Linked DNA regions of Notamacropus eugenii. The protein of the gene in region 3 interacts with the protein of the main gene of each other region in a biochemical or structural test. Links are inferred from orthologs where the notes say so. Each region holds a gene or a part of one and is shown on either strand. Other genes may lie near its edges.

Region 1 (7,925 bases), on a different chromosome or scaffold from region 3:
TCTGATAAAGACCTCTTTTCTCAAATATATAAGGAACTAATTCAAATTTATAAAAAATAAAAGTCATTTCCCAATTGATAAATGGTCAAAGGATATGAAGAAGCAGTTTTTAGAAGAAGGAATCAAAGCTATCTATAATCACATGAAAAAATGTTCAAAATCATTATTAATTAGAGAAATACAAATTAAAATTAAAATAACTGAGGAACTACGTCATACCTATCAGATTGGCTAACGTTGTTTTTGCTGTCCTTGGTTCTCAGAGTACCACGGCACAGGGAAAGTGACTTGTGAGTGAATTGTATTTAAGTTTGGGAGGGCTCTGCAAAGTCATCAGCCTCACTTTCTCCTCCTGAGTGATCTGGGTCCAGTGGCAAGATATAGCTCAAGACAGCTAGAGATGGCCCTGGATGTAGTGAGAGATATTGGTCTTTTGAACCTAAGGTCTTTCCCAGGTCTCAGTTTGTCTGAGGCAATTCCCATTCAATGATTAAGCTAGGTAAGAAAAGAAACAAGGAAATAGTCTCTCTTACCTGGTTAAAAAAATCAGTTTCAAAAGGGAAGACCCTCAGGATTTCTGGACAAAACAGAAACAGTTACTATTTATTTTTATTCTGAGCCAATCAGGACCCAAACAATGACCATTAACTGGGGCTTGGGCTGGGACTTATTGTTGACCAATCAATGAGAGCCAGAGTGAATTGGGTTTAAGGCATGGTCATTACAAAAGAATTCTAGGCTGAAAACCCCAAGATATCTTGTGAAGTTTCAGCAATTAAAATTTACTTTCCTTTGAGCAGAGCACTTCTAGGTAAGGGTATGATACCCTATGTGGACAGAGCAAGAGGAAAGAGGATAAGAGACTAGAGGAAAGGGAGGAGCTACATTGCCCAACTGGAACTGGCCAGTTGGGTCACCAGTGGGGCAGCTTATACTATTCACACGTTGATGTTTGTCCTTTCTTCTCAAAGAGGACTGTGGCATCAGGAAACTGATGCATGGCTAACATGACAGAAAAGGAAAATAATAAGTACTGAAGGGTGTGTGGAAAAATAGGGACACTAATCTTTTGTTGGTGGAGTTGTGAACTGGCTCAATCATTCTGTTTGCACAAGGCTTCACTTAAGCAGTGGGGGTCTGGCTGTTGAAGGTTGCTTCTGCCTGTGTCTATGCAGAAGCATGTGGTGGTTATCAGAGTTGGAGTCTGCCCATTATTCTGGTTATGCTGAGGCACATGGGGATCCTATTGTTGGGGTTTGCCTGTTCCACTGCACTGGGGCTCAGAATTTACTGCTAGTTTGCTAAGGTGGGACTTGCTGCTGGCTTGCTGGAATGCTTCCTCCCCTGGATTGTGTCCCCCTTTTAGCTGAGTGAGACAGATATTTTCCTGTCAATCTTCCAAGTTTCTTGGGCTCAAAGATTGTTTCATCCCATCTTTTTGCTGGTTCTACTATTTCAGGATTTGTTTTGGGGTGTTTTTTTATGGTTGTTTGGAGGGGAATATGGAAGAGTTATGGTGATTACTTCTTACTTCTCCATCTTGACTCCTGGAAGTGGTCAAACCATTCTGGAGAAAAATTTGATCCAGCAATACTCGATCCCAAAGAGATCAAAGAAAAGGGAAAAGGACCTATATGTACAACATTTAAAGCAGTTCTTTTTTTGTGGTAACAAAAAACTGGAAATTGAAGGGATGCCCATCAATTAGAGAATGGATAAACAAGTTGTTGTCATTATAATGCAATACTATTGTGCTTTAAGAAATGGGGAGCAGGATGGTTTTAGAAAATCTTAGAAAGACTTATATGAACTGGTACAAAGTGAAGTGAGCAAAATCAGAACACCATACACAATGACAGCAATATTGTAATGATGATCAACTGTGAAAGACTTAGCTACTCTGATCAATACAGTGATCTAAGACAGTTATAGAAGATCCATGTTGCAAAATGCTATCCACCTCCAGAGAGACATCTGATGAATTCTGAGTGCAGATTAAAGCATACTTTTAAATTTTGTTCTTGCCTTTTATTTGCAATGTGGCAAATATGGAAATATATTTTTCATGGATAATTGATATCATATTGTGTGCCTTCTCAAGAGATGAGGAAAGGACTTGAGAGAAGGAGGTCATTTGGAAATTCATAATTTAAAATTATGTTAATATTTTAATATTAATTATTAAATTAATTTAAAAAATTAAGTTAAATATTAAGAATATTACATTAAAATATATGTAATAATAATTAACAATTAAATAAATAATAATAAGTTAACATTAAAAAATAATGGAACTTTTTTTTAAAAAAGGCAAATGTATGTAAGACATGCTTTTAAATTTAATCTGCTTTATTAACACTTTCTTAAGTCTAGATAATCAACAAAACAATAAATCAAGCTCTGGTTTATAGCACTTGCTGATTTCTGAAGCATAAATGCTCACCCTGAAAATTTTACAATCACTTCTCCTGATACTCTGTGATTTGGCTCCAACAGCCTCCCTAACTCTAGGCATGAGAGCCAGTCAATGCAAAGAAAAGGAGATGTAGTGTTATGTTCCAAGAACTATGAGTAAGTAAGCCAGAATATCCAAGGGAGATGAAGTTTAAGAGAGCTAAAGGGTTGTGAAGAACTGTAAATTTCAGACACAGGACTTGATATTTGATCCTAGGGACAATAGAGAGTCATTGGAGTTTATCGAAGAAGGAAGATGGTGAGAACTACATTTTACTTTGGCACCTGAGTGTAGATGAATTGGAGTCGGGAGGGATTTGACTCAGGGAGACCCCCAAGACTGTTCATAGATTGTTAGAGCTACAACGGAACTGACAGGTCATCAAATTCATCTGCTTCTTTATACAGATGAGGACACTGAGGGCCAGAAACATGGAATGAATGACTCACCAAAGGTCCAATCTTGTGAGTAGCAGAGTCAAGGGTTGAGCACAAGTTTTCTGACCTCAAATCCAGGGTTTCTTCAGTTAACGGAGATATTTGCTTCTCTTCTATGATTTCTTCCCTATTAAAAAAAAAGAAAAAGAAAAGATGAGGCAGGATCTGCATTGGTGATAGGGATGGGGTCTTTGCTCATACTATTCTTTTTATATTCCAGAATGTTTAGCACAAGTGTTTTCACTAGGTGAGTGCTCAATAAATGCTTGCTGAGTGAATGGATTTGCTCGAGCCAATCTACGAAGGATTATAGTATCATAGATTTGTAGCTGGAAGGGACCTCAGAGACCATCAGTTTCAACCCCCTCTTTTTATTGATGAGGAAAATGAATCTTAGAGAAGTCAAGTGACTTGTCCACAGTCAAGCAACTGATAAGTGCCTGAGGAAGAATTTGAATGCAAGTCTTCCTGCACCCAAGCATAGAACTCTATCTGTTAGAGAAATACATACATTGATTTACTAATGCCTGGAAAATCTGAGGTTCTAGGTCCTATCAGAATCAGAATTAGAGTCAACAAATGTTTATTAAGCATCTACTATGTATTAAACACTATGCTAAGCTCTGGGGATATAAAGAGAGGCTTAAGACAGTCTATGAGCTTCTATCCAGAAGCTCATAATCTTATGGAGGAAGACAATATACAAAAAAAAAAGCTGCAGAGGGGGAGGAAGATGATGAAGCTGGGGTGGGAAATGATATGAATAAGTATGTTTTCAAATGGATTTCATTTTACAGAATGATGTGTTTCTAAAGATGAAGTCCAGAAAACTAGCCAGGTGGGAAATGATGAGGAGAATTCCTTGGGTGTCATTCTTAAATGGAAGAATAAAAAAATGGGAGAAGCTCCCAGATTTCCACCTCCACCCTTAATTGCCCGCTTAACTGCCAATTAGGAGTGGTAACAGATTGGACTAAACAAACCTGTCAATCAAACTCTTTTCCATCTATATATAGAGGCCTCTACCCTCAGAAAAAATGTGACATATAATCTATCTATATACAGGGTACTATATGGTATGATTTAAGGTACACCAAAAACAGTATCTGTCTCCAAATGGTTCTCTCAGCATTGGAGAAATGGAGTCCCATGAGTGCCACTTAGATGGGTTTGAAGGTGGGTCCATTGATCAGAACAATAGATAAAATGCTGATGTTACCTAAGAGGGCTTTCAAACTAGGACTTATGGTACTGGTTTGTTGATCAGATGAATTGTTTAATCACATTCTAGGGTACAGAGAAAAAAGCCAGTAAAAGTCTAAAATAGCAATTTTTAGATCTGGGAGTGTTCTTAAAAGAACATGATTTAACCCCATCCTTTCAAAGAAAATAACTAGGAACAGAAAGATTAAACAGCTTACCTAAGGTCACAAAGCTACTTAGTAGGGATAGAATTGGGATTTGAACTCAAGGCTCCTGATTGATAATCCTGTATTGGGAACATGATATTTAAAAGGTATAAGCAAATACTAGAGGGCATGAGGATGTTAGATAAGTGATGACAGTCTCATGTCAAAAGTAGGAGGGAGATGAAAGGGAAGGCAGGATGTTGGGAGAGAAGGGTCCCCACAGAAGACAAACAGTCACTATTTCAGTTTTGCCTGAGGCTGACGCTATCTTAGAACTCTGTTGTTGTTTATTCTGTGTTCTTGATGGGGACCATGATATCAGGAAAGTGATGCAATGACTTGCAAGTGAACCGGATTTAAGAGAGGGATTACTGTGTAAAGTCACCAGCCTCCAGAGCTACCTGGGCCCAGTGGCAAGATATAGATCAGGACAACTGGAGATGGCCCTGGATGTAGTGGGAGACCTTGGCCTTTTTAAACTGAGGACCTTTCCAGGACTCAGTTTGACTGAGACAACACCCATTCAGTGTTTAAGGGTAGGTAAGAAATGAGACAAAGAATGGTTTTTTTAACCTAGTCAAAGAAAAGCAAAATACAAAACACAAAATCACTTAGAACTCTCAGTAATCTTTTGGAGATAACATTTTATTTAGAGTTCTCTCTTCCTTGAGGGCTGATTTCCTAAATGAGATTGGCATACCAAATAAGGTGAATTTCTTTTGAAAAACCAGTCTATAAACTTCCCTTCCTCCAACTGTGTGAAACAGTTCTCTATTCAATTAAAACATAAATGCTTCACTGTTTTCCACCCCTTTATAGAAAGTGCTGACTTATTGCAGCCCCTTAGAGCTAAAAGGTATTTCATCTCGTCCACCAAATGATAAAGTGAAAGCTTAGAGTGAAGGGACTTTTGTCAAGGTCACAAGGGTACTAAATGACAAAATTCAGAGCTGAAGCCAGGTCTTCAGAAGTAGGCCTTTTCCCCTGTGCCATACTATCTCTCATTCTAATCCTGATATCACTTTTGAATTCACAGATTTGAAAGAGTCCCAGAATCTCAGAATCAGAAGGGAACTCAGAAACCATCTAATTCATTCCATACTTGAATAAGAAGACCTCTACAAAGCCCTTGAAAATTGCTTTCTAGACTTCATTTGATTACCTTCAGTGAGGAGGAGGCCACTGCTTTCTGAGCCAGTCTATTTCACTTGGGGATAGTTACAACGATTAGAAACCTTTTCCTTCAACCAAACCAAAATCTGCTTTTCTGTAATTTCCAGCCATTGTTCTAATTTCTTCCCTTTGAGACCAAGAACAAATACATAACCTCCTTTCTATAAGACCTCCCTTCAAAGACTTGAAAACATTTATCACAGATGCCTTAAATTCCTCCTTTTCTGATTAAATATCATCAGTTCTTTGGGGCCTCACTTTATAGATGAGTTAACTGTGTGGTTACACAGTGAGGAAGCATCTTAGCAAGGATCTGAGCCTTGGTCTCTTTTTTGCCTCCAGGCCTTTCTAATGCCCAAGTGATGCCAAAGTCAAATAGAAGGATGTGTGTGTGTGTGTGTGTGTGTGTGTGTGTGTGTGTGTGTGGACAGACTTTACATAAGGATCCCTGTAGGCTGCGTAATGACTTAGAGTAACACATTAACATTATTTATGGTTTATTGCATTTTTATTTTGTTAAACATTTCCCAATTGTATTTTAAGCTTTACTTGGGAGTCTTGGGAGCTACAGCCTAACTCTGGATATCTCTGCTCCATGCAACACTGTCTCTCATTCCTAAAATGTGGTGCCTAAAACTGTTTTATCATATTCCATATGTAGTTGGGGGAGGATTATGACTTCCCTAGTGCTGCATCCTTTACCCCTTTTAATGTATTCCAAGATTTCATTTGCTTTTTGAGTTGCCCTGTAAAAGTGCTCATACTTCGTATTGAGATTTCAGTTTGCAAAAACAGAGATCTTTCTTTCTAGCTATCTTTATCCCGACTTGTACTTGTAGGGATGGTTTTTTTGAACCTCAGTAGTAGATTTTATATTTGTCCCTACTAAATAAAACCCTTTTTTTATAGTCCAGAATTCTAGAGACTATTGAGACCTTTTCAAACACAAATTTTGTTATATTGACCTTGTGTCATTAGCAAATTTGATAAGCATGGCACTATGGGTTTTTCCAAGATACTGATAACAATGTCAAATAGCATCCTGACAAGTATAGATCTCTAGGGCATGCCATTGGAGACCTTTACATTGGGAACATTAATGGCTACTGTTTGGATTTGGCCTTTCAATCACTTTAAGATTCACCTCATCCCACATGTCTCTATCTTTTCCAAAAGAATAGCATGAAAGATTGTCAAGTACTTTCCTAAAATTATAAAAAAAAAAGCTACAGAAGAGTATATTATAATTACAGAATTCAACTCATTTACAAGCCTCATAAACTGGTCTATAAAAGGAAATGAGGTGAGTCTGAGATGACTTGTTCTTGATGAAGCTAGGATGGATCTTTGAGACCACCCTAAAGATTTCTTTTCTAGATGTTCACTAACAGTATCCTGGATAACACAGTACTAGAATTTTACTAGCAATTAAGATCAAACTCACTGGCCTATACTTAGAAGACTTCATTCTCTTCTAAAAAAGGAAAGAAGAAAGAAAGAAAGAAAGAAAGAGAAAAAAGAAAGAGAAAAGGAAAGAAGAAAAGAAGGAAGAAAAAAAAGGAAGGAAAAAAAATTTACTCTTCTCCAATCTTTAAGGACATCTCCAGTTTTCCACACTCCTTCAAAGACCCTAGGAAATGGCTTAGCAATCATTGCTGCCAGCACTGATCTTATTATTTGGGCATATTTTTAGCTATTCCAGGAGATGTTAACTCTTGGGAAGCTAGGTGTTTTCTTACTATCTCCTTAATATGGATAGTAATAATAAAAGTGTTAGCAGTAATAGCTAGCATTTATGTGGTACGTTACACATGTAATCTCATTTGGTCCTCACATAAGACCTGTGAGGTAGGAGCTATTATTATCTTTTATTATTTTTATCTTCTTATTTTATCCTTTATTACTGTTATCTTATTATTTTACAGATGGAGAAACTGAGGGTAGAAGTGGTTAGGTGACTTGCTCAATGTCCTACGGAGGATTTGAACTCGTTTCCTGACTCCAAGTCCAGCCCTCTATCCACTGAACCACCTATCTGCCTTATTTTAACCAACCCATTTTTAATAATTTATTTAAGTGATAGGTCCTGAGCTAAGACTAGACGATTCAAAGGCATAAATGAAATAGTTCCTGCCTTTAGGGAATTCACATTTTATGAGTGGAAAAAATGTACATAAATAATCATATACAGAAAATGGACAAAATAAATAAGGATAAAGATTGTACCTGTGATTTCACTAATACAAGGAATCCCCTCTCCCAGGGCAGGAGGATAGTATCTTTGCAACTTTAGGTTTAAAAGAATAGTCAAAAGTGCTGAGAGGTCCAGTGATTTGTCCAAGGTCACAGAGAAGGTATGTATCAGTTCTTGGACTTGAACCAAGGACTTCTTGGCTCTAAGATCAGCTCTCCAACTTCTAGATCAGGGGTGGGGAACCTGCTGCCTTAAGG
Region 2 (7,199 bases), on a different chromosome or scaffold from region 3:
GCTTTTATCATTCTACTATCATTTGAAACAAAGAAACAGAGAAAAAATTGAAATAGGAGAAAGTCATCACTACCAAAAACAGATGCTAGAGGTGATGCTGCATGCAATTATTCTGTCCAGTACTTAAAAATACAAAAGAACACTCATTGTCAACATGTAAGAATTCTAAAACTAGCTTTTAAGAAAAAAAAAACCTACTCCTATTTGACACCAAACAGATTTGTTTCCTAGCATAAAGCATAGTAGTTTGGTACTAAGGAGAGGGATGTTACAGCCTTGTGGTTTAAAAGTCTCCTGGAAAAATCGATATTTTAATTAATAGGCTGGTGATGTGTGAAGGGATAGATCTCTCTTTAGCCTCTAATGAAGCACACAGAATGCACTAAAAAGTATCTAAGTCATGAACACAAGAAGAATTAGAGATTAGGTGTTTGTCAGGAAGGGGAAGAGCAAAATATTTTTATATAGTATGGTGGGAACCAACAACTTCATTTATGTAGAAAACTCCTGAAACTCTTTACATCAAATTAGTTTGAGACCTTCTCTGCAACTGGTATTCTTAGAATTTTCTGGGGCAATGACTTGCTCAGGGTCACAAAGCCGGTATATATCAGAAGTGGGACTTGAATCCAGGTCTTCTGTGACACCTCTACTTTTTAAGCTATTAAACAACACCATAAAAATTTTACATGCTCATGGTGAATAAAGCTACTTAAAATTTTGGAAGTATAATTATAATCTGGAAGATAATTTTAATTCCTATTCTATTTTTATTACAAAAAAATGTTAATTTCTGTATTTTTGATGTTAATCATGTACTCCAACAACAGATAATCTAAACCAGAATTTTGACTAAATGTATTAAGAAAATTATGCTGAATGTAACAATATATAAGAATATTTTTAGGGTAGAAAAGAATTTTAAAATCCTCTCACACTATACAAGCAAGGGAAAATTCAATTTATTCACATAATCTCATTTCGTCTACACTCCTGAGCAACAATTTTTTCCTGTTGAGTCTGAAATCCTTAACCAACTCTGGTTTGGTGGTATGGGAGAAATAAGGCTACATAACAAGGAAGCTGGTCTTTGTTCTTTGAGAACTTAAACTCTACCCAAAGCTCAGATGAGTCATGTGGCCTCATTCACTCCTCAATAGTTCTTCAATCTTAAGAACACTCAAAGACTTTGAGAAAGTAACACCCGACTTTTCCTGTAATCCTGTGACTCTAACCTTTCCAGGCCAGGCAATCACTGACCCTTCACATAAAAGCTACTCTTTGTGAAGTACGTGGTTTGAGTAGCTGTAACATGTGAATTTTTAGGCCTGAGGGTGATTTATGTGGTTGGGTAAATCAGGTCATGTCTACCTGCTATGTATGATTTAACAGAGGTGTGATATGGTGCATATACCTTGACTGTGTAAAAATAGACAATATATTTAGTATGTATGTGTGGTTGAAAGAAAGGTAATCTGTTCTTTGCCTTCAGACTCTCTGTGCGTGTTTCAGGGCATCTGGGGGGGGTGTAAAGAGGGTAGTTCATATTTAGCAGTTATTAACAGAGCAGTGAGTGTGTGTGAGTTGGGAAGGGGACCGAGTGCAAGTGTATGCATATACACACAGATATAAACACACACATATGCAAACATACATTTAGATATGTGTATACTGGTAGAGAATATGTGCCTGTGTGTGTGTAATTAAGCTTGGGGGGAGGGTATAAGGAAAGGTAACTGCAGGTTCACCTAGACAATTTACCTGTTATATCTAAGGTGTGTAAGTCTGCTAAGTGTAACTGAGAAGTCTGTGTTTCAAGTCTCCAAACCCTGTCACTGGAAATAATATGTAGCATTTACAGAACACTTTTAAGGTTTGCAAAACACTTTACAAATATCTTGTGAGTCTTACAATAAGTATGGGAGGTAGGTGCTATTTCACAGATAAGGAAACTGAAGCAAACAGAGGTTAAATAACTGGACCAGGGTCACACAGCTACTAAGGATGAGACAGGATCTGAACTCGACTCCAAGTCCAGGGCTCTGTCTAGCTGGCTCACTGCAAAATGTGGGAGACCCTGGAACCCTTACTCAGGTGGCCAACAGCCCTGTCCTCAGCAAATACCCCGAGTGACTCTGGTCAAGTCACTTAACCTCAAGAGGTGGCCCAGATGACCTACAATGCTGCAGACAGAAATACAGATCAAAATTTTACACCCCAACTTTAGAGGATTAAAAGCTGAATTTATGCTAATGAAATTGAACGGGCGAAAGGGTTAGAAAGGGCAGCAGCAGCGTACAACACCCCAGCCTCTAGCCACGTGCTCGCACGTACGGGGGCGCACATGCGCACAGGGCGTGAGCGCGCTTGGGGAGGGGAGGGCACAGGTGGAGTGTAAAAAAGGCCGGCGGTCCTCCAGGCCGCGGCGCTCACTGCAGCGCCTGGTATACAGTAAGAGCTTAATGCATGCCCGCCGAAGGACCAGACCAGGTGACTTCGCGGTCGGACGAGTGCGCGGACCGGGCAGGGCAGGTCGGGCCGGGGGTGGGGGTGGGGGCTGGGTCGGGGTCGCGCGGGTCAGGGCAGTGCGTGCCTCGGGGTGCAGCGTCAGCGCGGCGGGCCGGCCCCGGCCCCGGGAGGGCCTCGCTCCAGGCCGGTCGTGGGTGGGCGTGCCCGAGTCCCGCCCTGGCTCCCCGGCGCCCCGGGCTGGGACGTCCCGGAAGGGCCTCCCCTCCCTCCCGGATCCTGCCCTCGCCCCTCCTCGGGGTGGGGGCCCTGCCCTCCCCTCGCCCGCCGTCTCCTGCTCCTCCTCCGACCCCGTGTCGGGCCCCAAAGCTCACCCCGCTCCAGCCTCACAGGCTCCCCCAACGCCGCCATCTTCTCCCCCCGCGCGCGGCCCGACGGGAAATGATGACAAACGACGGCTTCGCTGCGTGCCTCACAAGCGTCTCCGAGGGAGGGGGCCTAGCGAGCGGAGGGGGAGGAAATACCGCGAGATCTCGAGGGAAGGCGGGGGCGGGGCTGCGGGCTTGGCTAAGCATGCGCCGGGAGGCGCCTGCGCGTGCGCGTGCGCGTGCGCGTTCCAGCGCCAGCTTTTCGAGTTTCCCAGAGGCTGGTGCTGTCTCACTCTGCACCGGCATAGGTTCCCGCACTCTTTCCCCCTCTTCCGTCTAGTTGGTAAGGTGGGAATGGAGACAGATTAGGAGGCGTGTACCTGGCAAGGGAGGGGTCGGCGACAGAAAGCCAGCCGGGAAGACGTGGATTCAAATCCTGAGCTCTGCGACCCTGGGCCTCAGTTTCCTCACCTGTAAAATGGAAATGCTACGTGCTGCCCACCTCCACTGCACCAAGACTTTTGGGCCGTCCTGTCTATCTAGATAGAGACGGAAAACTTTGTAAACTTCTCTATAAACAGGCTTACGTACACTCGTGGTAAATATATTCCATGTAACATGTAATATGTGCAAGTGACTTATCCAGGTTACATGTCCAAGTGTGGGAGGCAGGATTGGCACTCGGCTCTTTCGGACTCTCAGTCACCGAACACCCCTAGCTGCCTCTGCAAAAACCTTTCTTTTTCGAGCCTGCGGATAGTGCTTTTGTCTCAAACCCGTTAAATCCAGGCACTTCATCACAGGAGAATTCAGGAAATTTTATTAAACATCAGAGCTGCAGTTAGGAGTTTTGGCACCCGGCCAACACACGCACACCCCACTCAGGACAAGTGGCACCTTCAGTGGAGAGGGTGAGGAGGAGAATGCCCCCTTTGGTGGGGACAACCTGAGCTGACTGTGTAGGGTGGCTTCCTTCTTCGCACACCGCTGAAACACCCTAGGTGACGTCAGCGTCCTGTGTATTCAGTGCCCTGGAACACTGCCACAATGTATCAGGCTCCTGATACAGTCGCAGTTCTGTTAATGTAGACTGCGTATGGGATATTTTCTTCGATTCCCAGTCTCCTAGCATCCTTGGTATATATTATTATCACGGTCAAAATCACACAGTAGAAATTTTCTCAAAAAAGCGAGACTTTCATCTTCACCTTGCACTTACAATGTTAGATTGTAATCAGGGAATGGCCCCTTTAAGTGAATAGGCCAAGGTTTCCCTTTGCATCCTGGGCAGTGTCTAGGCATCCTGATGAATATCTGGTCACTGGATCCAGATGGCTCAGTAGGGGAAAGTGAGACTGGTGACCTGCACAGCCCTCCCTCACTCAAAACAAAGTCCAATCCAAGTCATGTCATCATTTCTCTGATGGCATGGTCTTCTTTGAAATAGGGACTGACTTTTGTCTCTTTTTGTGTCCCCAGTTCTTAGCACTTTGCTTGAAACATAGGTGCTTGATGGACTATCTGATTTATTGAATCCAGTAGCCTCAGGGTTCTGATTCAGAGTAGGGAAATAGGGATACTTCATTCAAATCATCATGAATAAATGAAATTAAGATATAGAATCAAGTGGATAATGTGGCAGAGACTTAGGTCATAGATTAAGAAGCATAAATTTAAGCCTGGAAGGGGTGCTAAAAGTCAGCGAGGACAATGTTATTTTCTACCTCAGTAAGAAGACTGTAGTAATATGGTAGGTCAAGGGGGGAAAGCTTGGAGAAGGAATCGAAAGATTTGGGTTTTAGTTAGCCAGTTTAGTGATTGATTACTTTATGCTTGCTGCTAGCTCACCTAAGGTCTAAAGTCTCAGCTATCAAGGTCTTATGATGAAAAATGCTATCCATCCCCAGAGAAAGAACTAATGATGTTTGAATACAGACTGAAACATAACTTTTTTAATTTTATTTTTCTTGAGGGCTTTTTTTGAGGGGAGAGTCCATGTTTTCTTTCACAACATAACTATTATGGAAATGTTTTGCATGACTATACATGTATAACCTAGATTTAATTGCCTGCCTTCTCAGTGGGAGCAGAAGAGGGGAGGGAAGAAGGGAGAGAATTTGGAACTCCAAGTTTTTCAAATGAATGGTAAAAATTGTTTTTACATGTAACTGGGGAAAAATAAAATACTAAATGAAAAAAAGTCTGAAGTCTTACAGTTAGCAGGTAGAAGAGTCTAGACCCAGGTCTCCTGGAAGTTAGTATACTTTCCATTATGAACCAGGTAATCAAAGGGTGTCATTATTTACCCAGGCAAAAGTTTGAGGAAACGTTGTTGTTGTGATTGTGTTAATTTTATTTTTGATGTTGACCAGTGAGGTAGGTGATAAAGATCCATGAACCTTTCTGACTGGCTGTAGGTCTGAAAGGAGTTACCTTATTTTGTGTTTTTAGTGTCACAGTATCAAGTGAGGGTGGAAGTGACAAGCTCACTAGTGTTACTAGAAATTTATTGCAGATTTTGCAATAAATCTTTTGCAATAAAATTCAATAAGATTACGATTTCTATGGTCTGCCCACTAGCATTTCCTGATCTTCTAGGATGTATCATTCTGATAAATCTTAGATGGAGAGCTTACTGTTGATCTGAGTGCCTTGGTGTGCCACCAGCTCTTCTTCCTCCAGTGTATAATGGGAGATCGCCTGGTATTGTAGAAAAGTGACTGGGATGAGTTTCATGAGACAGACTCTCGTCCTGCTTCTGCCACGAACTAGCTGTATAACCTCTGTCTGGGGATTGGTTTTCTCATCTGTAAAATTAAAAGGTTAGGATAGATCAAGAGTTCTTAACCTGGGGTCTGCAGATAGATTTCAGGAGTCTGTGAACTTGGTTGGCTGAGAAAATGGCTTCATTTCAAAATAATTGTCTTTCTTTGTATCCTGTATATTTTATTTTATGTATTTAAAAACACTCTTCTGAGTAGTCAAGTGTAACACGAGTTTATTCCAAACTCATTCACACAGGGCCAGTTCCTTACATTTTACACCTGCCCTCCCAGGGTTCTCTGGTACCCTGAGAGGGTGAGGGAGTCTATGTTCTTTGTCATTGGTTGGAGCCCCTATTATATTCCCTTCACTTTTAGGTGCCAAGTGACTAACACCTCAGTTTCATTTCACTACTTGATACTAAATTAACTTTTACAAAGCTGGTACAGTGGATAGAGTGCTGATTCTGGAGTAAGGAAGACCTGAATTCAAATCTAGCCTCAGATACCCACTAGCTGTTTGACCTTGGGCAAGTCACTTAACCCTGTTTGCTTCAGTTTTCTCATCTGTAAAATGGGAATGAAGACTATTGTAAGAATCAGATTAGATAACAATTACAAAGTGCTTAGCACAGTCTGACATCTAGTAAACATTATATAAATGTTACCTATGATTATTATTATTATTTACTTAAGAGATACAGCAAGAATAAACATACCAACATTTCCCCTAATACCTCAGAAGCATAATTTCCCACATAGACATCACCTCAGTCTTTGGACAAGGGAGGGGGACTAGGCTCACAATTTAGCCAGATCCTATATAACATTAATCTCACCAAGTTCAAGGCCAAAGCAGTCAGTCCATCTTCTGCTAGGCTTTACACCCAGGACCTGCGCTTCCCAGGCTATCTCTGGTGGGCTGGTTGGCCGGCTGCAATATCCAGCCTGGGTTCCTGGACTCTTGCCTTCCCATGGCTTTACTCCCTGCACTTATGAGGGAAGATCACAAACCAAAAGGTCAAGGCCCCAGCCTTATTTCTCAGGGTTCTGTGGTCTAAAGAGGGATGAGGAACAGAAGGTGTTCTTCAGACCCTTTGCCTTATCCCATTGGTGTGAGTGAAGGAGTGCTTTACCCTTAAAATTAAATGCAGCAGAAAGCCCTCTGCATTGTTGAATAAGTCTGTTTTAAAGACACTAACATTTTTTTTAAAAAATATATTTTATTTTCCCTAATTACATATTAAAATTTTTTTAACATATTTTTAAAAAATATAGTTCCAAATTCTGTCCTTCTATCCTTCCTCTTCCCTCTGCCTGGGATGATAAGCAATCAGATATAGGTTACGCATATGCAGTCATGTAAAACATTTCCATATTAGTCATTTTATACAAAAAGACTCAAATAAAAGAAGGAAAGAAAGTGAAAAATAGCTTGCTTCAGTCTGTATTCAAACAATATTAGTTCTCTCTCTGGAGGAGGATAATATACTCCATCATTAGTCCTTTGGAATTGCCTTGGATCTTTGTATTGCTGGGAATAGCTAAGTCATTCACAATTTCTCATTGTATAATATTGCTGATGCTGTGTACAACATTCTCC
Region 3 (7,721 bases):
GTCTTGCCAAAGATCACAGAAGCAGCAACTCAAGGAAGAAGGAGAGGAGTCATTGGACCTCCCCAGGTACCAACTTCTTTCCCTCTCAGCTAAGGGAGATGACGTCTGAGGTACCTTCCAGCACTATAACCGCAGTCCTCTTTGGGCAGTTAGGTTTGATCTGGCTTATTCCACCCATCGTACCAAAGGTGAGCAGAGCACCCAGGGTATGAGACATCGGTGAGCAGAATCTGCCCAGCCCAGGCATTTTAGCACCGCATTTGCAGAGGGACAATGTAGGGTCTACCTAGACCCTACAGAGAAGGCAGCTACACCATCCTCACCAAGTAAGCTTTGGGTCCTGGTTCCTTGCATGGTGAAACAGGCAGGCCATCTTCCCTTCTGAAAGTAGCAGACAGGGAATGCTTTCCTGAGATACTCTCTGAGCACCACTTTCAGGACCCTAGTGACATGACCCCCCCCCCCCCCCAGGGAATCCTTTTCCACACCCTCAACCTCCATCTCTGATCTCTTACCTATACTCTCTCAGGTTTGAATCACCACTGTGTCTTGTTCCTTCTCATTATACCAATGGAAACACCAACAGAAATGCTTCACGATCACAGAAGGCTGGAGGGAGGATACCCAGTGGGAAGGGATCCTGGTTGTTTCTGCCACAGTTCTCCAAGTCTGGAGCTTTGGCCAAAGTCAAGTCCTTCTGAGACCAGAGCTTGGACTCTCTTTTGCCCTTCTCCTGGCCTTACTCTAACCCACCCTCAAAGAGTCGCGTTAAATATCCACCCCCATGGCCTTGCCTTTCCCCTTTGGACAAAGGGCCAAGAGTTTCTGCATAACTGCTATGCTTTTAATGAAAAGGGGATTAAAGGCTTTCAAAGAGTTACCTAGACCCAGTTCTCCTTGGGAGGGAGGAACAGACCGCCCAGGAGCCTCAGGTCAGGGTGTCAGGCTCACCATCTTTAGCTAGGTCTGCTGGCTTGTGTCTCCTACCGAATAACACTACTCCCCCACCTCTGTCCCATGCTCAGACATCACATGATCTGTCCAAAGGATGGATGAGTCTCAGGATTGGGCTCCCAAGCCTGGATGCTGAGCATCCTCCTGCCATTTTCGATTTTGCTCTGGGAAAGAGCAGTTTGAGCCTCCTGGTAGCAGCCTGATACCAAATGTAAGACCCAGGGGAGATGCTTCTGGCCCACCAGGAGCCTTGCAGGGATAAAGAAACTGACATCACATCTCCCCTCGGACCTGGTCTTGCCTCTGATCTAAGTTAAATGATAGAGGAAACAAAGGATGCTGTGAAAAATAGACAGCTTTGTATGACAAGTTAGTTGGGGAAAGGATCATGGGACCCAAACCTAGGAAAGAAACAGATGGGATCCAAGGACTGGGCTCATCCCTACTCAAAGCTGTGTCTAAGTTCATGATGCAGCATAACCTGGTCTCATTACGGAGAGGGTCTTTGGAGATGCGCTAGGATGAATTTGGTAGCTTGGCATTAGGATTTGCTTTCCTTCAGAGTGCCTCTGAGACCCTGAAAGGAGCCCATGGGATCCCATGCTGGGGCCACATTCCCTTTTGAGATAGACCTGGCATGCTTATGATTCTACCCACATGTACAGAGACAGATATACTGAGCTACTGGGCTCAGAAGTGAGAAGTATGGACACAAATGCCTCTCCTTTCAGTGTATCTTAAAGGGGGTCCTGGATGGCATCCTTGTCATCACTATAAGTCACAGATTGGTACTATGGGTGGAATACTCCACATCAAACCAAAGGCTTTCCATGTTGGGCACTAGGAGAAGAGAGGTCATTCCCGGAGTGTGGCTACATTCCCCAAACTACTGAGGCAACTCTGTTTCGCAGGCCACGAGGGCCTGTTGGAGATTTGTTCTGACATGTTGTAGCACAAATCATTTGTGAGTAAGTCTATTCATGATTATATGAGCTTTGTGCAAAAACTCGTTCCTTTCCAATTGCAGGTGAACATCTGTCCAAGATTTGTATGAGACTTTCAGTGCAGAATGACATTGCTTTTGCTGAATGAATGAGTACCCCACCCCATGTCAGGTGTTTTCCATGGTGACCTCAGTTAATGAATCAGCCCCATAAGGAGGATAATGTATTGTATCCATCTCAAATTCTTTCCTTCAATCACCCCAAGAGACAAGGAAAAACCCTTTTCACATGTAGCTTATTTCTAAGTCATGATTTTCCCCATTGTGATCCTAGGATGTGACAAACATGGTGGGCACAGAGGAGGTTATAATCACGCATTTACTCTTACACACAATCTGGAAAGGGAGAAAAGACCAAAAGGAGGTTCATGCCCACAGAGCAAACATCTTTAAGTAGTCCCACACCACGCTTTTCCCTCTGGGTCAGTGATATTGGACTTTCCCATTCACTTTGTGCTTGGTGAGGCCTATGAAGACCACGGAAAGGAGTTGACAGGTGTCTCTCAGGTAAGCTGATGTCATCTGATTCTTACTACCTACCCCAGTAGGGGGATGGAAAAAAGAAAAGGGTCATCACCACCCTTTTTGGGTGCCATTCTTATCCTCTTGTTGGCCGTGAAAGATGAGAGAGTGCTATGCTAACCTTGGCTACTACATCATTCATTCCCTCCCCCTACCTCAGTTTCCTCAATAGATGGCCTTGTGGAGTCAGACTGGATCCTGAAAGACATCTAGTCTGAGACTGGACTATTTTATCTTTTCTCTTCCCTCTCCTATGAATGGACAAAACAGACCACCAGTGAAAGGAAACCTATAACCTCTACAAAGAGCCTATTTCATTGTTTGATTTCAGGATTTCAAAAATTAAGGAAAAGGTTGATTGGCTGATATTTTTGCAAGGATCAATTTCTCTCTAGCAGCAGATAGTGCTTACTAGGAGGGTTCAGTTTGCTCCAAAGGTCTTTTCTGCACTGCGAGGAAGCAAGCCTCAGGCTACCTCTTGGCTGTTCTTACCTGGAGAGTGCCCTAAGTCTGGGTATTAGAAGACTCATGGTTGCACAGTGTTTCCACTCGGGCACCTAGGGAACATTATCAGTTGGCCGTTCAGTTGAGAATCCTGGTCTTCCTTGGAGGGGAAGAAAAAACCTTCCATGAGAAATTCCTGAAATTCCTCTCTCATCACTCCAAACCAAGGTTAGAACAAATAAACCCCACATTTTTCCAACTCTGTTGAGAGAACATGAAAGGGCCACTGGGCCCCTTCAGAAAAATAACTGAGCTCTCTCTCCAAAATTTCCAGGATCAATGATACTGCGAAGTAAAGACGCGGCTTGGCCACAGGGTCATGTTTTTACTGAATCTCCTTCATTGTACCTCCTTGGCTGGGGATTTCTTCGAAAGGGGCCAGATGCCTGTTATTTATCCAAGGCTTCTCAGAAACTCTTCCCTTTGCTTTGGGGGTGGGAAGCTCATGAGTTTCTGATCTCATGAACCTGGGGCAGGAGGCCCATAGGTCTGAAAGATACCAGAAATCCTCAGAGTAGAGATGAACACCCCTCCCCAATCTCTAGGCACATTTGAAAAGCTGATCGTTCCTGAACTGATGAATGACTCATCTCCACACAATGCTTTTACATGTCTCTAGCTCAGTTGCTTCTCACAGGCCCTAGCAGGACCTTGATAAACAACTCACTACTCATGGAGAGGACTGGAAGTCAGGAAAAGCCGCTCCTGGGTTTGGGGAAGAAGCTTACCTCACAGGAAGTTGCGCTCAAGCAAGTCTGCTGATGTCTGAAGCTGGAAGACAAGTAGGAGGTGAGTTAAGATGCAATTTGGAGCTGGGCAGCAGACCTCCAAGGAGGACTACCAATTGGCATACATAGATCCCAGGTAGCATTTGAAACACCTACAGCTGAAAGCAAACCAAAGGAGATTACGACTGCCAGAAATGCCTCCCACTAGGAATCACACTGAATGATTAGACTAGTTCTGTGAGTAGGCTATGGTGGAGATGTGCCCAGTGTAGGCCAGGCAGATGGGGTGTTATGTTTTAGTGAATCAACAATCATCTCCTCCTTTTTCTGGTCCCACAGTCTGTTCTCTAGAGAAATATCATTAACAAGGGTCAAGCGAGTGGGGAGAGGGGAGAGGAGGGCATTAATCTCTGCTTGCCTGGGTTCAAAATCGTCCAATTAGTATTTGAGCTGTCTGTCATCAGTGAGCCCTGGAGAATCCCAGAGAAGGGGCTTACATTGGGTGAGGCCAAATTAATTATACATTTCCACGATGCTTCCTTTTCCCCAGGCAGGAGTGACCCAGACTCAGAGTAGGAGCCCTGGCAGGTTTCCAGGCAGGAAGAAGTGCCAGCAGTGAGCTGATGCTGAGGATGTCAATTTGCCAAGAGTCTAGTCAGCAAGAGAGCCCCCTTTTCTATCTAGAAAAGCCCTCTGCCTGAGGCAATAAGAGCCTCTGAGGGAGAAGATAAAATCACCCCAAGTTGTAATGACCAGACCTGGTCCTCCTCCCCTCTCTTGCTTCCAGGATCCATAAGGGGCAGGTGGAGAACCTGGGAGCCCTCCCCACACACATTCTTCTAGGAGATCTGAGAATGCAAGTACCCATACTGTAGGTCTGGAAGGCTTATACTTACCTGTATTTCCTTGTGAAGAAGAAAAATTCTACTCAGGATTGGTTGAGGTGGCTAGTCATTGTAAAGTGACAGGGATGTTGTTTTACCATTGCTGTATCATTTAAAGAATATGGGTTTGTCATAAAAAGGTGGAGCCCTCAACGAGTCCATGAACAGAATGGAAAAGGCCAGAGAAATTACAGTCATACAAGTGTAGACTTGGAATGTCCATACCCCGCATAGGCAGATCCACATCCACATGTGCATATGGTAAAGTCATGCACTAGAACCCTCGGAAGATGGGTTCCACACCTGACTGAAATCCTAGGAAATACTCAATGAATGTCAGTCTTTCAATTGCCCCTTATTCCATAGAAAAACTGAGGTTGGGGGCCTTATCCACAGGGCTCGCTGGCCAATATTCCAAATTGGATGAAGTTGTAATTCTCATTGGGAAATCTGATGGAACCTGCCCTTCATCTGGGATTCTTATCTCCCTTGCCCAAATCCTAATGACTCTACTGGATCAGGATCTACTGGCAAAGCCCTGTGTCATTGTTCCATGGCTCAGTGACCTACTACTGGGTCCTTACCCATAGCCTTTTCACCTTTGGGGGCTCTGATGCCCATAGGCTGTTTATGGACATGTCACTTGGCAAAGGAGGAATATTCTTGAATTAAAACAAAGCCAGGGGCCTTTTTTCCCTCATGGTTTGACATCATTGAAGAGCTGTACTTGCCCAGAGGACAATGTCTCAGAAAGACCTCACCCAGAAGAAAGTCTAAATCCTTGTGAAATGACATGTTTAGCAAAGACATGTCCAATACTGCAACATCGGTGGTAGCACATGAGGCATACCAGGAACTCTGATGATCGCCAGGGAGATATATGAAGGGAAGCCTCATCTTGAAAGGGGCTTTTTGGCAAAAAAGAATCATCCTTAGGGCTGAATCTCTTGCTTCCTAGCTCTGGCAGTAAAGGTGTGTGTAATATCTCTGTGAGTGAAAGCTGATGGGAGGGGAGAGACTCTAGCAAAAGGACTTTGGTGGAAGTCAGAGGTGGCCAATCTCAGGTTTTGAGGGGACTCTGTTCCAGCAAGGGCTGCAAGACAGACTTCTTGCAGCACCTGCTTTGATACACATTAATGTCTCGGATTTCCTACCGGGCAGGTTTAAACAGCTGTTTGTTTTGTCTTCCATCCATCCCGTGGCTGAAGCATACTGTGTCTCAGGGTTTGTTTGCCTACTTAGTAGAACAGCAGGAGAAAAGGGAAAACAATGAAGGCAAGGCAAAGCAGAAGACAGAACCCAAGCAAAAATGACAAGAAAGCAGAATTAGAGCAGCACGATTCACAGAAGACAGCTTATTTTAGCAACATGGTGACTCAAGCAATGTGGCAGCTGACAAAGGCCGTTTCCATCTAATGAGTAAGTCGAGTCACAGGTTGCACCCCAGCTCCTGTGCCAAAACAAATTTGCAAAGCATAAGCATGCTGTGGGAGGCCAACTTCAAAAACGATTGACTTAGCTCTGGGGACCTTCCACGGCAGCTGGGAGCAAGCCGACTTGACTGCCTGCAGCTGGGACCCATTCCTTTCCCGCTCTCCACAGCCTGGAGGACTCTGGAGGAACCAGGGACTGAAAAGCTCTGGGCACAGAGGAGGCGGCCAGGGCTTGGGAGGTTGTAAAGCATCCTGACCCCCTAGCAGAATCTGCAGGGTTAGTGTGAAATTCGGAGATGCCTGGTCCTGCCTCAGTGTCCTAAGGCTCGGTCCTGATGAGATGGGGGCAGGGAAGGGCAGAGGAGCAATGACTTTCCTTCACCTGACCTCACCTGCTTGAGGAGAAGCTGACAGATGACCAGGCAACTTTTTATCTTGTCTTTTATGGAGCATGTGAACCCTTTGTACACCTCTCACCCTACATCCCATCCCTCAGCCCTCTGGACAGAAGAGGCCAAGGCTTAGACAAGGTAGCTCAATCCCCAAGACTGCCTCAGCAGGGTGACTCCTCTGCAGGGACACTTGGGATTGCTGAGTCCATGAGAGCCCGGGGAACCGAGCCCAGGTCAGCATGGAGAGAGGTCCCCTCCCTGAATCAATGCAAAAAGACCACTTTCTTGAAAGTGACTGGTTTAAGATGTTGCCTCAGTCCCTGAGGGGTGGGCACACAGCTAGTGTGGAGGAAGTTATACTTGACTTCTGAGTCCCCTTTCTCCGAATCCCTTGGCGCCCCCCCCCCCCCCCCCCGGCCTCAGTGAAGGAGAATACAGAGCATGTTTGGAATGACAGGAATCTCTACTTTGTCGCTTGCTACCTTTCAGCTCTGGGAGCCCCTCATCCTCTGTAAATGAGAGGATGTTCAGAGTTCTTTCCAGCTCGATCCACTTAGGGCCATTTTTTTCCTCCAGGATTTGAACTCATCCCTACCCTGACTGACACGATACCAATTGTGTTCCTAAAATAATATCCCTTCAAAATTTGGGATGGGCCGTGGAGAACACTCCCAGAAATGAGCAAATACTCATTGCTACAAGTGGACCTTACAGAGGCCTTTACTTGGGAGGAGTAGGAAAACAGAAAGGTTACAGGCTGGACTCAACTGCATTCCTACTGAAATAGAGAGGCAAAGTCAGGAAGAGGCTACACTAACGGCTTCACAATGTGACACGCACAGTTAGGGTCCCCTGGTACTATGGGTACCGTTTAGGCACAGGCAGGAGTGGGGGCTCCATTGCCCTTGTGTATGAGGATGTGCAGCAGGATGGCTGGAAGGGATGCCCCATGAGCCTCTCCCTTGAGTGGCTGGGAAAAGCACCTTAAGGCTCATGGTCACTGCCACTGGATCCCCAAAGTTGAGCTAATTGACTAGGTTGTCCAGGGAGTTCCGAGTCAGAATGTCTTAAGCTGTTTGCTTTTGGCGATCCGCTTTGTTTAAGGGATGACCTAGGAAATTCGCAATACTATGGCAGGAATGCGTGCCCTCTCCCAGGCAGCTGAAAACAGAAGCAGGTATTCCATGACACTGAAGGACCACAGGTATGGGGAGCATTCCCCAGCCCTCATTCTGGCCTTGCACTGTGCTCTTTAGTCTTAGCGTTACTAGGCTAGTGACCTGAAACACTTACATGAGGGA
Region 4 (7,820 bases), on a different chromosome or scaffold from region 3:
CATCAGCAAATATTTTTCTCTTACAAGTATTTTAAAGAATCAACTTGTTTTTTTTTTAAGCTGAATAATAGTGAAAAATAGCATTAATGATACTTTAAGTGAAGGAGATGCATCCATGCAAAACAAATGGGTTGCTGCAGGCTACCACAAGAGCTATTACAACTTACTACAATGAATTACAAAATTCAAGTTGTATCATTAGCCATACCCTAGGCAATTTTAAGAAAATCTATTCATCTCTAAATATTATATATATTTTATTAAATGTAATCATATTTGTTATAAATGACATTCAATCAATATAGTTACCAATTCCCTTACTCAAACCCAGATTATCCCTGGATAACTCAAGAGGAATATAAACTTTCTTGGAAAATATGCTGCTTTTATTTATTGAAGAAGCTTGAATTTTACTGGGCATTTCTGTTTACTTCTAAATATAGAGAATTTTTTAAAAAATCTTTTTTCTCACATAGAATAAGTTAAGACTTCAAAATTCAGTTAACTACTTATCAGAAAGAGATTCTACACAAATCACAGGAGACTGTGTACCCAAATCTATGAATGTGGTTTTTTCCCCAAAATTTATCCCCAACTCTTCAAAGAGTTAGGACAACCTCAAATTGAAATTTTAAAGGCTCAAAAAGAAAATAATAATAAAACTATAATTCATATTGACTTTTTCAAGAAAGCCTGAATGAACAAAATACATTTAACAATGGCTATATATAGTAAAGGAAGGTTTAAGTGGCTCTGATTCTTATTAATTATAAACTGTAATATAAAAACAATAATACAATCTTTAAAAAAATCCCTGTGATAACGATACGTTGTATATTTGTTCGTGTAGGCATAATAGCTATGGTCTTAAAAGGGGGAAAAAGACAAGGCAGCCAGTTTGGATTCTGACAGCAATGCAGTAGAATTTAAAATATTGTGACTAGAATATTTCAGAGCAGGCTAAGCTAGCCATACAATGTGTTAACAAAGAAATACTAAGGTGTTTATTATAAAGATAAATTCTTCTCTCTCAAAAGAAAGATATGTGCACCAAGAATTCAAATTACATTGTACATGCCTGGCTGCTCTTAACTACAGTTGTATCATTATTTATAGACACAGTTTCTCCTCTGTGTATGTATGTGTAGTTTCTCACACACAAGCTATATATGTTTCACACCAATGCTGGTGGTGGCTTACTCCTGTTATGCAGAATCAACTCAACAATAACGCTTTTGTTTGTCCATGTCTGTGACCCTTGGCTTTGATTCAGCTGGCTATGACCAGACCTGAAACTCCCCACAACAGCAAAGCACAAGGTAAAAGGGCAGATGACTTTTCAGCAAACACACTTCTATCCCTTTGGTCCCTGGGAGACTTCAATAGAGCACCCATTAGCGAAAACTAGGAAAGCTTATTTCACTGGTGCTAAGAAAGGAGGCATTCATTTCTTAAACATTCATGACAATACTAATGCACCATTTTTTCTCCCCCCCCCTCCTTTTTTGGGGGTAACTCTTTTCCTAAACCAATGAGTTTAGAAAAAAAAAACTAAGAGAAAATATCACTTATTGGTGGTTCACAAACGCTGGAGTTACTACACTGGTAGTAGCAGGAGATACAGTTCTTGACATTTAAGGGACCGAAGGCTGGGGAGAGGAGATGGTAGGGCAGACACGGTGAAGATCTTTCTACCGGTCAGAAATGAGACAAACAATAGAAGCTGCATCGTCAGGGAGGAGGCTTAGACCAATGCAGAAACTAGGCAAAAAGAATGCTACCTGCATGGTGCTGCTACGGACAGAAGCAGGACGAGCAGGGACAGCCAGCACTTCCAGAAGGTGTGACCATCACCCGATTACGGGACCATGTGCTCAGGCGCTACCTCTCTACTTCCTCTCCTACACTCCAACAAGAGGGGGTCGGGGCAGGGAGAAAATCACTCACCCACACCAAAATACTGAGGCACTCTCAGAAATCGGACCGTTCCAGGGCGAGGATCTCCCACCACCACGTCCTACAGTCTTGCCTGCTGTTAATGAGGCTGTTGACAGCAAGCCGGGAGCTGACGAGACCCTTGTGTCTGACCGTGCAGTTTGAGGATTAGAGGTTCAATCACGCGAGCCCCTAGCTCACGCGAGGGCACACATACACTGTGTCCTACAAACCTGCTCCTTTTCCCCAAATCCCTTCATCCAGCAAGTGCATACAGCACACACCACGGTCTAAGTCGCTTTCCATCACTATTTCTACTGAATCTTCAATTGAGGAGAGAGGTTAGGGGTTCCTGAAAATGTCATCACACACACGCGCGCACACACACACACACACACACACACACACACGCACACACACACACACTCCACTCACAACGTCCTGCTACCGCAGGCCCCGATTTCTCAGCCTGCATCTCCCCAGAGATCCAGCTGTACTTCTCCTTTTAGCCCCCTTCCTGGTCCCCTGTCTTAGCACCGCATCTCACCACTGAACAGCCAGTCTAAAGCATCCCCCTCTTCCCTTCATTTGGGGATGGAGGCGGGGGCGGGGGGGGGGGGGGCCAGGATTGCATTATGTTGATCACCACCACCGGCATCATTATTGCTTCAATAACCCCCCACTCTCCTCTCAGGACCATCTCCATCCCTTCCCGGGCTGCGGGAGAGGCATCCGTCGGAGGCTGGATCGTCATCCCTCCCCACCCACTCCCCACCGGTACCTCGTAGCCTGACAGCTGGGGTCTGGCGGGGCCCACGTTAGCAGGCGGCGCGGGGGCAATGACAGGGGGGGCGCCCAGCCTGGGCACGAGCCTTCCCTCCGGCCGAGGCTGCCTCCGGCTCCACCATCTTCCTCCCCCTCCCGGTCCTCGTCCTCGTCCGCCTCTGGCTGGGGCTGCCCCTAGCTCCCCCAGCAGCGGCAGCAGCACCCGCAGCCCCGGCGGCAGCACCAGTGCCTGTTCCTGCTCTCCTCTCCCGGATCCCCGGCCCCACCTCCCTTCTCTTTCCCCTCCCAGCTCCGCGTGACGTTCTGCCGCGCGAGCCGGGGTTGGACTGCGTGTGTTTGTGTGTGTGAGTGTGTGTGTGTACTGTGTGTCCGTGCGCGTGCGCACCCTTGCCTCTGTGTGTGTGTGTGTGTGTGCCACTTTATACACTGCGGGCGCACGCACCCTCGCCAGGGAGAGGCCTGGGTCCCCAAGCCCAGAAGCCAGCAGCGACCCCTTCTCCAGCCTCCTCGCAGAGGCAGCGCCCGATGCCCCGCACACCCTCCTCTCTGGCCACGGCTGCGGGTGGGATGTGCTGCCGGCGTCTCCCCCCCTCCCAGGGCTCTCCTCTCCCTGGTGACAATACCAAACGACCGTCCAGGCTGATGCGTTGGAGTCCCCATGTCACTGATTAGGCCAGTTAGGTCAGCCTTCCGCTTTCAGCATGCCATCAGCCTTCATGTTTGCACAGTAACCAGAGAAAAGTGGCCTCTCGCGCAGCCAGCAGCACTTTTCCCCCGGTGAAATCTAAGCGGCTGTTTTTGTACGGCTTTTCTTCTTTCTTAGTTGCTATCTCTTAGCTTTGCCCCCCTCTACCCTTCCCCTTTCCTGGCCCCTTCCGTACTGTTAGCATTTCCAGGACAGGACACTCTAATGACAGAGGTTTTGCAGTTCTTACTGAAATATGTTGCAATAAGATCTCTAGACGCAAGGGGGAAGAGTCTTAAAAACTGTTTATGGATGAAAGACTTGGCAAGTTTGTATCTCCTAAGGGGAAACTGCTCAGTCCCCCAAGAGGGGAAAAGCAACTCCAAAGACTCCAGAAGCTAATGCTTGGAAATACGTTTCATTGTTATTCTGCCATTTTCTTCTCTTAGCTAATTAAAACTTTGAAAAAATGCACTTGAATGTGTTTTAAAGAATTTGCTTCAAACCAGAGAGGAAACAGCTAACTTGTAATGGATAAAGTGCTGTATTTGGAGACAGAAAGACCTGGGATCCAGTCCTCCCTTAAGTTCCTCCTAGTTGTGTCACCCTGGGCACTTTATTTAAACATTCTGAACCTCAGTTTTCTTATCTGTAAAAGGAGGGTTTTGAACTTGATGGTCTTCAAGGTTCCTTCCAGCTCTGAAAGTATGATGTAATAAGGACTAAGGCGGAAAAGACAGTAGCATGATGTGAGCTAAACCTGAAGACCCCAGCTACTTGGGTAAGGACTCCCAAATGACAAAAGCTAGAAACTAGTATGGCAGAAATTAGGGTTAGACCAAAACCTCACACCATTTACCGAGTGGCTCCAAATGGACACATGACTTAGATATGCTTGTTGTCCTTCATTCTCAGACCAAAACTACCTCACTATGTTGAGGTCAAGGTACAGTGTGTCTGGCTGTCACTGATCAGACCAATATGAGCTTGGAAGGCTCTACCACCGGTTGGACACAAATAGTCCATATGAACATTTGGAAAGGAGATGGCTCTAAATTTGTGCATCTTAAGTTTCTTTTGAGCTACTGAAATTCTGCTTTGCTCACAGAGCACAACATATTCTTTGTTGTGGGCATGCCATGCTGAGTGGTCCTGTGCCAGTGTCTCCCTTTTCTCCCATTCAATTCCAAAGTTCTTCAGAGAAACCTTGACAGTGTCCTTCTTCATCTGACCTTCCTGTGAGCGCTTCCCTTCTGACCTACATATAAGATGATCCAGTGGATAGAGTGCCAGACCTAGAGTCAGGAAGACTCATCTTCTTGGGCTTAAGTCTGGCCTCAGACACTTACTAGCTGTGTGACCCTGGTCAAGTCATTTAATCTAATTTGTCTCAATTTCCTCATCTGTAAAATAAGTTGGAGAAGGAAATGACAAACTACTCCAGTATCTTTGCCAAGAAAACCCCAAATGGGGTCATGAAGAGTCAGGTAGTACTGAGCAGCAACAGAATCGTAAACAAATTAGAGAACAAAAAAGAAATTTCCTTTTAGATCTAGGGAAGGGAGAAAAGTTCATCACCAAACAGGGGATAGAGAGGATCACACAGGATAAAATGGACAAATTTGATTACATAAAGTTGAACAGTTTTGCATAAACAAAATCAATGAAACTAAAATTAGAAGGAAAACAGGAAAATAGGAAAAAATCTTTGCAGCAATTTCTTTGATAAAGATGTCATTTCTAACATATAGCTCATAATAATGAGCATTTTACATTGAACATTTGCAAAGTGCTTTACAAGTATCATCTGATGTTATCCTCACAACAACCCTGGGAATTAGGTGCTATTACTATCCCCATCTTACAGCTGAAGAGCCTGAGGCCAACTGAGGTTAAAGTGACTTGTTCAGGACAACACAGTCAAGAAATGTGTGAGGATGGATTTTAATTCAGGTCTTCTTGATTCCAGTCCAGTGTCTATCCATTGTATCCCTTAGGAAGTTATTCAAATTTGTGAGAATAAGAGACATTCCCCAAGTGATAAATGTCCAAAAGATATGAATAGGCAATTCTTAAAGGAAAATAGCTAAGCTTTCAATAATCTCGTGGACAAAAAAAAAAAAATGCTCCAAGTCAGTAATGATTAGAGAGATGCCCATTAAAGCAACTCTGAGGTTCTACCTCACACCCATCTTATTGGCAAAGATACAAAAAAAGAAAAATGACAAAATAGTAGAGGGGCTGTAGAAAGCAGGCATATTTGATTGATGCACTATTGGTGGAACTATAAATTAGTACTGCTGAAAAGAAATTTGGAACTATGCCCCAAAAGTCATTAAATTATTCACATCCTTTGATTTAGTGATACGTCTACTAGGCCTTTACCCAAAGAGATCAAAGGAAGAGGGAAAAGACAATAAATACAAACATTTGCAAGTTTTTTTTGTAGTGGCAAAAAACTGCAAACTGAAGTGATGCACTTTGGTTGGGGAGTGGCTGAACAAATTATGGCATATAAATATAATATGAAAATAATGAAAGGGACAGGTTTAGAGAAAGCTGTGAAGATTTGAAAAAGCTGATGGAGAGGGAAGTGAGCAGAACCAGGAGACAATTTACACCATAATGATAACATATAAACACAAACAGTTTGGGAAGACTTTAGTTCTCTGATCAATACAATGACCAGTCCAGAGGACTGATGATGATCTTTGTATGCTACCTACTTCCTGACACAGAGGTGACAGATTCAAGATGTAGAACAAGACATACATTTTTAGACACAGCCAAAGTGGGAATTACAGATATTTGATACAAGAGTTTTATTTTTCTTTCTTTTTCTTCTTTTAAATTGTGGGATTGGGGTGTAAAGGAGAGAAAATAAATATTATTTGAAAAGCAAAGAAATGAAAAAATAAAGAAATTAAATATGTTTAACCTGAAAAAAAATAAATCAATGCAACAGGATGACAACTTACATGGTTCTTTAGAGAGTATCCTCTGAGTTCCAGAAATGATGCTAAGCCTGACCTCAAGGCATAGCAGATTTTAAAAATTTTATCTCAGACAGGAAATGCATTCTTAAAACTCCTTTTGGAATGAGAGAGGTCTTTTAAACAGGTAAAAACCTGAAGAAGTTGGGCTTTAATAAAACAATTCAATTTCTTACAGCAAGTATAATTGAAATTCTGATAGTAATGTGTAGTACCCAGGTTCCTTCAATGTGACACAATTGTCAGCCATAATCAGGTTTATGTTGTCAAACTTATAAGCCCACAAGCCCCCACCAATGTTTCTTTTTACCAACTCATACCAGATGACCACGAATTAAAATCAAAGATATCTCATGAAACAGAGTAGCCCAAACTGGGCAACTGAAAAAGTATTAAAAGTTTTAATTAAATTAAAATGTATAAAACTTAATTAATTAAATTAAAAAGTATTAAACTTTCTCATACCCATTCCCAAATGACTGATGTCTTCACAAGTTGTTGATGGTGTTATTTTTCCTTTATGCCCAAAGAGAACAGGACATCAGCAAGATGATGCCATGACTTGCAAATGAATTGAATTTAAGTGAGGGAGGGCTGTGTAAAGTCACCAGTCTCCTCCAGAGCTATCTGGGTCCAGTGGCAAGATTTCGATCAGGATGACTGGGGTTTGGCCCCAGATGCAGTGGGAAATCTTGGCCTTTTTAAGTTAAGATCTTTCCAAGTTCTCACTTTGACTGAGGCAATGCCCATTCAGTAATTAAGCCTGGTTAAAAAATGAGCCAAGGAATGGCCCCTTTGATCTAATCAACCCCACCTCCAAAATAATAAATCTGGGAGAGGAAGACCCTCAGGGTTTCTGACCAAAACAGAAACCATTACTATTTACTATTCACTCTGAGTCATCAGGACCCAAACAATGACCTCTAAGTTGGTCAATCAATGAGAGCCAGAGTGATTTGAGTTTAAGGCATGATCTTTAGTAAAGAAGTCTAGCCAGTAAACCCCAAGATACTTTGCTAGGTTTCAGCCATCAAAATTTATATTCCTTTAGGCATAGTACTAGAAGGTAAGGACATGATACCCCACATGGACAGAGGGAGGGGAGAGGAGAGGTAAGAAGAAGACAGGAGGCAAAGGGAGGGAAAGGGAAAGGGCGGGGGGGGGGGGGGGGGGGGGGGGGAAGGGAAGGGGAGAGGAGGGGAGTTGTCTAACTAGAACTGGCCCCAGCTGGGCAACTCAGACTACTCACAGGTTGTTGTTTGTCCTTCTTTCTTGAACAGGACTATGACATCAGTAAGATATACCATGACTTGCAAATGAATTGGATGTAAGTGAGGGAGGGCTGTGCAAAGTCAATAGCCTTACTTTCTCCTCCACAGCCATGTGGGTCTAGTGGCCAGATAGAGATCAGGATGATTGGA

What was found.
Region 1: the proteins of HTR2C (region 3) and MPDZ form a complex in vitro, tested with the Homo sapiens proteins (3 studies listed by BioGRID and IntAct, with this or other methods). The link is inferred for Notamacropus eugenii from reciprocal best matches to the Homo sapiens genes HTR2C and MPDZ.
Region 2: the proteins of HTR2C (region 3) and LIN7C form a complex in vitro, tested with the Homo sapiens proteins (2 studies listed by BioGRID and IntAct, with this or other methods). The link is inferred for Notamacropus eugenii from reciprocal best matches to the Homo sapiens genes HTR2C and LIN7C.
Region 4: the proteins of HTR2C (region 3) and APBA1 form a complex in vitro, tested with the Homo sapiens proteins (2 studies listed by BioGRID and IntAct, with this or other methods). The link is inferred for Notamacropus eugenii from reciprocal best matches to the Homo sapiens genes HTR2C and APBA1.

The regions. Positions count from the first base shown.
Region 1 is NC_092872.1:30,053,335-30,061,259, reverse strand, and holds the start of MPDZ (multiple PDZ domain protein), read right to left. Parts: upstream 3,015-7,925; 5' UTR 2,905-3,014; intron 1-2,904. UniProt on the Homo sapiens protein: Member of the NMDAR signaling complex that may play a role in control of AMPAR potentiation and synaptic plasticity in excitatory synapses. Promotes clustering of HT2RC at the cell surface.
Region 2 is NC_092877.1:23,933,166-23,940,364, reverse strand, and holds the start of LIN7C (protein lin-7 homolog C), read right to left. Parts: upstream 3,012-7,199; 5' UTR 2,878-3,011; coding exon 2,841-2,877; intron 2,491-2,840; exon of another isoform or gene 2,349-2,490; intron 1-2,348. UniProt on the Homo sapiens protein: Plays a role in establishing and maintaining the asymmetric distribution of channels and receptors at the plasma membrane of polarized cells.
Region 3 is NC_092879.1:95,876,135-95,883,855, forward strand, and holds the start of HTR2C (5-hydroxytryptamine receptor 2C), read right to left. Parts: upstream 3,010-7,721; coding exon 2,972-3,009; intron 1-2,971. UniProt on the Homo sapiens protein: G-protein coupled receptor for 5-hydroxytryptamine (serotonin).
Region 4 is NC_092872.1:103,059,132-103,066,951, forward strand, and holds the start of APBA1 (amyloid-beta A4 precursor protein-binding family A member 1), read right to left. Parts: upstream 3,004-7,820; 5' UTR 2,717-3,003; intron 1-2,716. UniProt on the Homo sapiens protein: Putative function in synaptic vesicle exocytosis by binding to Munc18-1, an essential component of the synaptic vesicle exocytotic machinery. May modulate processing of the amyloid-beta precursor protein (APP) and hence formation of APP-beta.